Ovis aries: one gene and its partner. The protein of the gene in region 2 interacts with the protein of the main gene of each other region in a biochemical or structural test. Links are inferred from orthologs where the notes say so. Each region holds a gene or a part of one and is shown on either strand. Other genes may lie near its edges.

Region 1 (4,907 bases), on a different chromosome or scaffold from region 2:
ATAAGTACAGAATTCAGTATGCCAAAATATGTACAATATAGATTCTTTGTTAGGAATTGTGAAAAATATTAAAGGCCTACAGAAAATATTCTTAATAACAGATACAGCACGCATTTTACTGTTAAATAAACAAGTATTACTATCTAACAGTATCGTGTGATTTAGCCTCAAACGTAGCTTGTTTCACATGTGTCCCTGTTTTTCTGTAGCTTTGTTTAATCAAAAATATTTGCCCACCCCCAAATTCAAAAGGAGCCACACCTGAGGGTAAGTGACTTAAAAATACTCCCAACATTTATTACGTAGATGTAAGAATTCAACTTATATTTAATTTTGAAGCTATAATGTGGTTGACCATTTTACGATACGGTCTACCACAAGTTAAAAGTGGACAGAAATCAGTAATTGAAACATGTAAAAATTGAATTTGAAAACAGTATTTTAATTAAAAGGCACTTTTACAGTTAAAGTTCCCAAAACATGCTTTTGTAAATTAAACTATGAAATATAGCTTTAATTTATGGTATGTGATACATTTAAGCATCACAAGATAAAAACTATAAAACTTCTAATTATACACAATAGTTAGACTAATATACTCCTATACACTTAAAACAATTATATAGACCACCCATAACCCTAGTCTCATAAGATTCCTCAGAACTACTTATACAGAATAAAACTCACTCTGAACAAGTCACTGTTCAATCTACCTTCACTAAGCATCGAAAAGCCAACTCAGCTTTCAACAGTAATAATTTCTTCTACAACTATAGAAAGAGAATGTTCTTCCTTCTCTAGACTGATTGTTCTAAGCTAAGACTTTAGGAAACAAAACAACCGAAATATGTTCTTTTTCCAATGCAAGAATAAACAAAATTGAAGACTTCACTAGTTCCTAATCCAATATTTTAAAATGGTCATGTTTGAAAGACAAAGAACTCACAGCAGATAAGCCTGTTGTTTTCAAGAAAACAAAACAATTTTTATGAAAACTATCTTTGATTAAAAAAAAAAATCCCGAACAGTCACAACTAGCCTATCGGTTAGAGTGCACCTTTCAAAGGTGTTACTAATTAACATGTGACTAATAACCATTCAATGAAGCACTAATAAAGTAACATAATTAAATCAAAAGTGTAACTGTCCTTAAGAAGTTCCTTACATCTCTTATTCAAATCATATCCAGCACAGACATTTTAAAAAAAGACACATAAGAAGAAAAATCTGAGTTATCTAAACCTTCATAATATATTTTAGAATAATTATATATTATTTTTAAATTTTTTCTAAAATTGGTCAGGGCCATAACTGTAGATTTTAAGTGAGGTCAGCCGGGAGAGAGAGAGAAACAGAAAATAAGTGGAAGTATAACATAAAAACTTCCACAAGAATAAAAAGTTGTTCAACTCTACCCTCGAATTTTAAAATAAATACTCTTATGCGGGGCGGGGGGAGGGGGGAATGGGTGAAGGAGAATTCCCATAGACTATTAAAAATACTGAACCAAAATATGCCTCAACTTTTCCCTCGTCTATAATCTAACAAAACGAGAAGACAATGAAAATAAACACTCCTGTGTGCCCTCAGAGAGGCAAAGAAAGCTCCCATTCAAAGCTAAGCCGTATTCCACTCTTGTAAAGTAAATCCAAAACCACGAGCTCAAACTGCTTCATGCAGAATTTACTGAATGGCGGCCAAACGTTGTACACTCTGTCCTGAACCACAGCGAAGGATATCTCGAGCTCTGCATTCTCCATTTACAACTTGTACCTTACTATGCATGCTTTCACCACCACTGCAGAAACCGATTTTTAAACTAAGATGTTCCTCCCGGCCAAGTCAATGGAAAGAAGGCAATCTACCCGCTGGCGACACTCCCCACCTTCCCCACCCACCCCGCACCCCAAGCAATACTAGTTTTTGACTCCTATACTGCGGTCAGCACACCTTAAAAAAAAAAAAATCATTATGGGAGAAGGCGTTACAAAGCCCCCGGAGAACTGAATTACCGAACCCTGAAACAACTTTTCAGTGGCTCTCACCTGGCACTTGGGATAATCACCTGTTGGAACGGCGCTGCCCCGGTCCCCTCTTACCGGCAGTCGAGGGCGGGGAGGCCGTGTTCCCAGTCACTGGTCCCCCTCCCGGGGCGGCAGGTGAAAGACGGGGAACGCGTATATCCACACCCACCGCCCCGGGAGCGCAGACCGAAAGCCGGGGACCGCGGCTGCGGCGGGACGCTCCGTTATCCCTCCCCTCGGCGGGCCCGCCAGGTGAGCGAGGCTCCATCGCGGCCGCGATGCGTCCCGGCGCACGGCTCACCGCCGGCCCACTTCTCCCGCCGCCCGGGCCCGGGAGACCGAAGTTTCTCTCCCGCTCGCGGCGGCCGCGGCTCACGGGCCGCCTGGCTCTCGGGCGCCGGGCCGCGGGCGAGTCGGGGGCCGCCGAGACAGGAGCCGGAGCCGGGACCTGTTACCCAGGGCGGGAAACCAAAAAAAAAAAAAAAAGCCGAGTGAGGACCAGCGGGGCGCGACCGGCCTCGTCTTCCCAAGGGAGAGCGCGGCAGGGGCGGGGAGCCGCTCCCGCGGCCGCCCGGCTCCGCGCCTCCCGGAGGCGAAGGGAGCCCCGGCCCCGCTCGCCCGGCGGGGCGCAGAGGATTCCCGCGGGGGAGCCTGGGCGCCTCCAGCGCGCCCGCTCCGAGGCGTCTCGGCGCCGCCCGCCCCGCAGCGCGGTTCCCGGGCTGGGGCGCCGCGTGAGGAAGCGGCACAGCGGCGGCAGGACCGCGAAGGAGGGAACGCGGCTCCCGGGGCCGGGCGGCCACCCCGCCTCATCCCCCCCGTGGCCATGGCGCCGGTACCTGTCGCCGTGGCGGCTCGCCCGTTCTGTCGCTCTGCCTCAGCCGCGCGCCGCCAGCCCCTCAGCCCGCCCAGCAGGCCGCCAGCGCGCCGGACGCCGCCGCCGGAGACTGGCAGCGCCCGCGAAGCGGCCAGAGTCCCCCCGGGCAGCGCCCGGCGCAGTCCCGCCCCCGCGGGCCGCAGGACCCGCCTCCCATAGGGCCCCGGGGCTGTCAGTCCGCCCCAAAAGACGCGCGGGCTGTCGCTCCTCCTATCCCGATTGGCGGCCGAACGCCGTCCATGCAAATAAGGCCCCGCCCCCGGCCATTTGCACCTCCGCCTTGGTGTAACCTCCGCCTCCCCCACGCCAGCCCACGTGTCTGGCCCTTGCCCCTTTGTGGGCGCTGTAGGGAAGAGAGGGAGGAAACTGAACGACGCCCCCTCACTCCATCCCTTACCTCCGGGGAAACTAATGCCCAAGCAAGCTAGTGGACTTCACATTGGGACCTCTCTCTGACAGTTCTGCCCTCCTGTCCGCCCACCCGACCTGATTCGCGGAAGGAGAGGGGCAGGCCAGGCTTGTTTGCGTCAGGTAAGCAAGCTAGGTTAGCCCCGGGAAACAATACCAGGGGAACTGGTATTGTCCATTTGGAACTGGGGGGAAAAAATCCCATCTGGAGAAACCATAGCACGTAGCACTTGCCTCTGGACACTCAGGGACTGTTAAGACTAGGCTTTCCCTCCGTCTTCTACCTTTCAAACATGAGATCCCAGGTGACTGAGACAGCAGAGGATTTCTGTGTTTTCTTAAAAGATGTCTGTGTTCTCTGCCGCCTGCCAACGGGTAGGTCTGCTGAGCAGCTGGACTTCAGGAGGGGGCTCAGGGCCCCTGGAGTGTAATGGCCAAACCAAGATTGGGATGAAGGGGACTGAGCTAGCAGCTCCTGGGCCTTAGGGAGTGGCTCGCTCAATCTCATTCTTGAGGAAACAGGAACCTGAAGTCCCACAACTGTGGAGCTTAATAATCACCTATTGAAACCTAACATCTCCTAACTCCACATCTGGCCTCAACACTATATCACCTAGGGTCATTTAGGTATTTATGAAGAGTTTCTTCTGCAAATAACCATCCCTGCCTTCAAGAGGTGCCACCTGCAGAAACAACCACTAGAGCTGACGCTGAAACCTCCTCAGTGAGGGCAAAGGCCCTGCTTCAGGGCCTAGAAGCTTACCTTTTTACCAGATGCCAAAGAGTGTCACTGAAACAGTTTATTTGTGCATTAATTCTGCATACTAATGCCAATCGTTTAAGCATCTACTGTGATTTTAATGGGGCTTCTCAGGTGGCGTGCTAGTGGTAGAGAACCCACCTGCCAAGGCCCGACCGTCAAGAGTCACGGGTTCAGTCCCTGGGTTGGGAAGATCCCCTGGAGGAGGGCATGGCAACCCATTCCAGTATTCTTGCCTGGAGAATCCCCATGGACAGAGGAGCCTGGCAGGCCACAGTCCATAAGTTCTCTGAGACACAACTGAAGCGACTTAGCATACACCCACATGCTTTTTAACAGCCTGGAGTTAAGCACTGTGCTACGCGCACGGTATACTGAGGTGAGAGGACATTGTCCCAGACCTAAGAGACAGTGCCATCCACATTGCATGTCCGTGGGCCTCATGTTTCAGAGATTGTGACAAGATACCTGCATAGGAAGTGGCTATGCATAGACCAGTGGAGGACTCCCAGGAGCAGGGCAATCGGCTCTTCCTGGGGAGGGAGTCAGGGAAGGCCTCACTGAAGACGTGACACTAGATCTGAGTCCTAAAAGAGTATGAAGAGATGGTGTTTGCCAGACTGATGGATGTGGAAGAGGAAGAAAGGAAACTCGGAGTGGGGGAGGGGAGGGTGGGAAGAGAGGGAGGATAGCATGAGCAAGAAGAATGCAGACCTGGAAGAGCCTACTAACTGAGGGAACAGCAGGAACCGTGTGGTCAAATCTGCTGTGCCGTGTGGCCATGTCACATGGCCTGGGACCAGGCGGAGGAAGAGAGAGACACGGGAGGCTGCCAGGCTGT
Region 2 (4,744 bases):
TGTTGGACAGGTCAGTTGGAGGGACAAGGATCAGAAAAAACCCGAAGCTGTCCTGCTGAGCCTGAAGGCGAGTGGCCCGGAGGGGCAGGCCGGCAGTCCCCTCAACAGGTCCCCTCAACCATCCCAACCCATACTAGCCAGAAACCCGCCCATGGTCCCGAGTGCCTGACGCCAAGCATGTCTTCCGGACTTAAAACAGCTCCCACCTGCAGTAGAGTCCGGGACAGAAGTCGATGGCCCTCGAATCGGTGCCGGGAAACCCTGATGCGGCGGCTGGCTCAGCGCTTCAGCGTCGAGCGTGGGCGCAAACGGGGCATCCCTGGAGATCCCAGGTAGGCAAGCGCGCCCAGAGTCAGGGATGGAGTTTCTGGATCAGCGTAGGAAGGACCATCTCCTGGTCCCCGGATTCCCCTGTTCACAACTCCTCCTGGCCTTGCAGACCCCAGAGGCCCATCAAATCGCCAAAACACCGCAAAACAGAGTAAAAACGCGGAAGCCTGTACTGCACTTTGTTTCTAGCACTGGGCTAAAGACACTCGCCTCTGCCGGCTCTTTTCCCCCCAACCGACAGGAGATGACTTCTCTGCCCCAGGTCCATCATGGGCAGCGGTGGCCGCGGGCTCCCCGTTCCTAGGGCCCCTCCGAGACCCTCGCTCTGTCTGGTATCAGAATCTCTCCTCCAGCTCTATTGGCGGCGATGATGCTCGAATTGATCCTTGAACCTCTCCAAACCAGATTCGATCTTGAAGCCACGGGAAGGTTCGGCCTGGCGCGGGCAGACTCTCATCCCCAACCGAGTCATTCCGCGCCTATTCAGATAAATCTGCGTGGCTCGAGAAGACAATTTGGCCCCTAAAATGCTCACCCTTCTCAGAACTGCGCCCTCGCACCAGTTTCCAGCGATAGAATTAACCAGAAAGCCGTCCAGGATCCGGCAAATGGAAGGCAGGCGAGGCTCAGATATGTTCGCCAGGGCCCGAACTCGCCTCTCTATCCCCTCCCCCCTCCCCCTATGCCCCCTCCCCCATCCTCACCTCCCGGTTTCAAGGCGGCGGCGAACTCGGACTCTTAAGCGAAAATACCGCACAGTTCTAAAATAAAATTCGACTACAATAATAAAAACACGAGAGATGTCTATCTGGGTGGCTTCAGCCACCGGAGTCCAATAAGAGCCATGGGTTCAGGGCTTGCGGGGGAGGTCTCCCTCCATCATCCCCCAGGAGCCGGGGCCGGGGGCCTGGTCCTGCCTATCCCAGGCTCTCAATCTCTGTTCGGAAGGGGCGGGGCAACGCCCCAAGGTCTATTTCCCCGGCTCTTGTGGTCTCCTTGACAACCTCCCCCCTGACCCCCCTCTAGTCCTTTTAATAAAATGGGTGTGGCCCGCAGCACCCGAGAAGACCTCTTGCCCCCTCCTCACAATCTCCCTCCTGGCGAAGCAACAGGGCGTGAAGCGAAGAGGCGCCCCGCCTTCGAGCTCCCACCGGGGGTCGCCGGTGCTCCTTGGTGTGCAGCCTGGTGGGGCGTGGCCCGCGGACGCTCCAGGTGTGGGGAGGGGCATCGTTCCTCTGCGGCCACCGGCGAGGCGCGCAGGGACCTCGGATCCCACCCCTTCGGCCCCTCGGAGGCTTTCTGGCGCGCGCCCCGGTTCTGGGAGAGGGCTGCGCGGGGTCACGCCCGGCCCATGCGTGCCCCCCGGGAGGACTAGAGTTCCTCGACCCCGGCGAGCTCCGAGATCTAACAAAGGGCTCGGAAATGAGGGGCAAAAAGCGGGGGGAGGGGCGGGAGCTGTGGTTAAACACCTTCATAGAATAAAAGCCAAAAATCAGGGCTGGCAACACAGATCACGTAAGCCCTACACACAAAGCAGTCAAGCCCCCGAGGAAGATCTCGGGTGAACGACCCCGGTACTCGGGCAACAAAATGCCAAGATTTCAGCGCTAATTGCTCCCCCTCCCCTTAATGACAGTCCCCGCCCTGTCCTCCTGAGCTCAGCCATCCGGCTTGGCATGGCACTCTAAAGACGTGACACACCGCAAAAAGATGGCACCTCGCGATCGGAGGGGAAAAAAGCAGGGGTGGAAGTGGGAGGAGGCACAGCCTACCCTCCCCCTCCTCGCCCACCCGGGTCCACACCCACTGCCGCAGTGAGGGGCGAGCCCTGCGCGCCAGCCCCGCGTCTCCGGCAGGGAGCGCACACGCCGGACTCCCGGCGCAGAGCGCAGAGAAAGGGGCCCGCCCCGAAATGCACCTGCCGCCCCTGAGCGGGTCTGTGCGGGGCTGCGGCTGTGCGCACCCTCGAGCCGGGATCTGCAGCTGCGAAGTCCTTCCATATCCCAAGTCCAGGTGACCCCTGCCTTGTTGAGCCTCCACATTGGGATCCGGGCACTACGTTCTCTCGGGCACTGCGCTGCTCGCGTCTCGGTGCCAGGCGCGCGCAGGGGGAAGGGCAACTAAAGTGACAGCGCCAAGACCCCTCCCCATCTCCCCGATTTCACTCCCAGCCCCCAAATGTCCCCTGCGGGTTTCTGAAGGAGGAAAACGAGAAGAGGGTGGGCCACCGCCTTAAACCAAGGGCCGCGAAAGCCCGGCTGAAATCAGGGCCGGGGAGGGATAGGGAGGGGCAGGCAGGGAGTCATCTTTTCTAGAAACCGATCAATACCTTGTCTGCAAACCGAGGCAGGGAAATTGGATTACAGGTTAGGTTTCGGGGGTCGTCATTGGACCCCTCTCCACCCCCCCCCCCACAGAATCACACGCCCATTGCGGCAAAAGACGGTGTTCGAGCGTGCATAGCAGCCCCCTCCCCCAGATCACCGCCATCCGCGCCCCACCCTGTGGGCACAACCTCTGCCGGGTCCGCGTGAAGCGGGTCTTGTAGACACCCCCCCACACACACGCACACAGGACATACACACACGCGCGCGTGCATCCCTTGCATAGATCCCTTTTCCAAGTCACCCCAATCCCAGCGCTGGAGCGCAGAGGGCGCAAGGAGCGGCCGCCGCCGTTGCCCCCGACCAATGCCCACCTCATGAAACCCATCTCTGAGGAGAGGGGCGGCGGTATGCAGGTGCAGCCGGGCGGACCGGGAGGCAGATTTCGGAGCCTCGCACTTACCTGATAGTCGACAGAGGGCGAGGACAGTAGAGGGAGGCAGAGGAGAAAGTGGCTGTGGTGGCGGCGGCAGAAGGTGGGCGGCGGCGGCGGCGGCGCTGCTGCTGGTGCCTGAGCTGGTGGGTGGCGGAGATTGCGAGCGCGCGCACGAGCGGAGAGGGCGCGCTCCGGCGGCCGGCGGGCGGCGCAGGCGCGAGCCGCGGGAGCGCGAGCCTTCCCAGGGGAGGGGCGGGCCGTGAGGCCTCGGTGGGCGTATTCTCCTCCGGCCACCAGTGGGCGCGCGCGAGCGCCCCAAGGTTCGGCCCTTCCCCGCCTCCCCGCTCTCTCCTCTCGGCGCTTCCCGTCCAGGGTCTCCCCTCCTCCCACGACTTGGGCCGCGGCGCTGACCGCAACGCGCACGCGCGCCCCTTGGCGCACGCGCACTCCGGGTCTCCTGTCGCGGTTGGAGCCTTTGTCTTGTTTGAGGGGTCTCCTCCCTTGGGAGGATGGCTTGGTTGCTCCCTGGGTCGAGAAGGGGCTGGGTGCTCCGCCCCCAGGTCCGCTGCCTCTTTTATCCCCCTGACGTCTTGGAGTGATGTCCTGTCTCGGGAACGTTCTGGGCAAGTTTCCATATGGCCATCCCTCCAGTCCACCCCAGACCTCAAAACCTCCCCGGACTTGCCCCTCTTATCGCTGGCACCCTGACTCTCCCCTGAATTTCCCGAAATGATTCCCCTTGTTGCAGATCAGTTTCCTTGGATCTGCTTTCTTTCGACCTGCTTTCTTTTCACCTTTTTGTTTTGTTTTTGATCAAGGTGAATTCTTGGCAAATCTACTTCAATTTGCTAAGACTTACAACTGAGTTAAGGCTAACTTAGTAGTAATAAGGTAGTGCAAGGTTTTGAAGGGTTTGGGGTTTTTTGTTTTAACAAGGATCATTCACATCTATTATCTTCACCCTAAGAATAAAATCTTAAATTAGATGAAGTTTCACTTACCGCGTTAGAAAACATTTTCACCTATAAAGTTATTTTTATCTTGTTTGTCAAACACTGTTACACTGTATAGAGTTTGAGATCTGGATTTCTAAGTTCCTGCTGGAGATTCTCACCTGGATAACACTGCTTCAGATTGAAACTGACCAGAGTGTTCTTGCCTGGAGAATCTCAGGGACGGGGAAGCCTGGTGGGCTGCCATCTATGGGGTCGCACAGAGTCGGACACGACTGAAGTGACTTAGCAGCAGAGGCTTTCATCCTCTCAGTCAGCCAATCTCTAGGCTTTGTCCTTAGCTGGTCTCCCCAACATCTAATTTAAGCCCTGACAGTCAGTGGGAGGCTTTAAATGCATAAGAGCTTGGGGACCGCTGTCGTGTACTAAAAAGACAGGAATTTGTCTTAAAGCTTTTATTTGCATAGGTCACAATTTTTCAAAACTGTTGTGTGTTATGTGCTAAGTCACTTCAGTCGTGGCCGACTTTTTGCGACCCTGTGGACTGTAGCCCACCAGGCTCCTCTGTCCATGGGATTTTCCAGGGAAGAATTGTGGAGTGGGTTGCCATACCCTCCTCCAGGGGATCTTCCCAACCCAGGGATTGAACCCATGTCTCTTACGTCTCCTGCACTGGCAGGTGAGTTCTTTACCACTCGTGC

Evidence for each region. The genes of interacting proteins can lie anywhere in the genome.
Region 1: the proteins of MAPT (region 2) and FKBP5 form a complex in vitro, tested with the Homo sapiens proteins (2 studies listed by BioGRID and IntAct, with this or other methods). The link is inferred for Ovis aries from reciprocal best matches to the Homo sapiens genes MAPT and FKBP5.

The regions. Positions count from the first base shown.
Region 1 is NC_056073.1:9,818,807-9,823,713, forward strand, and holds the start of FKBP5 (peptidyl-prolyl cis-trans isomerase FKBP5), read right to left. Parts: upstream 2,971-4,907; 5' UTR 2,861-2,970; intron 1-2,860. UniProt on the Homo sapiens protein: Immunophilin protein with PPIase and co-chaperone activities. Component of unligated steroid receptors heterocomplexes through interaction with heat-shock protein 90 (HSP90).
Region 2 is NC_056064.1:45,621,953-45,626,696, reverse strand, and holds the start of MAPT (microtubule-associated protein tau), read right to left. Parts: upstream 3,252-4,744; 5' UTR 3,118-3,251; intron 1-3,117. UniProt on the Homo sapiens protein: Promotes microtubule assembly and stability, and might be involved in the establishment and maintenance of neuronal polarity.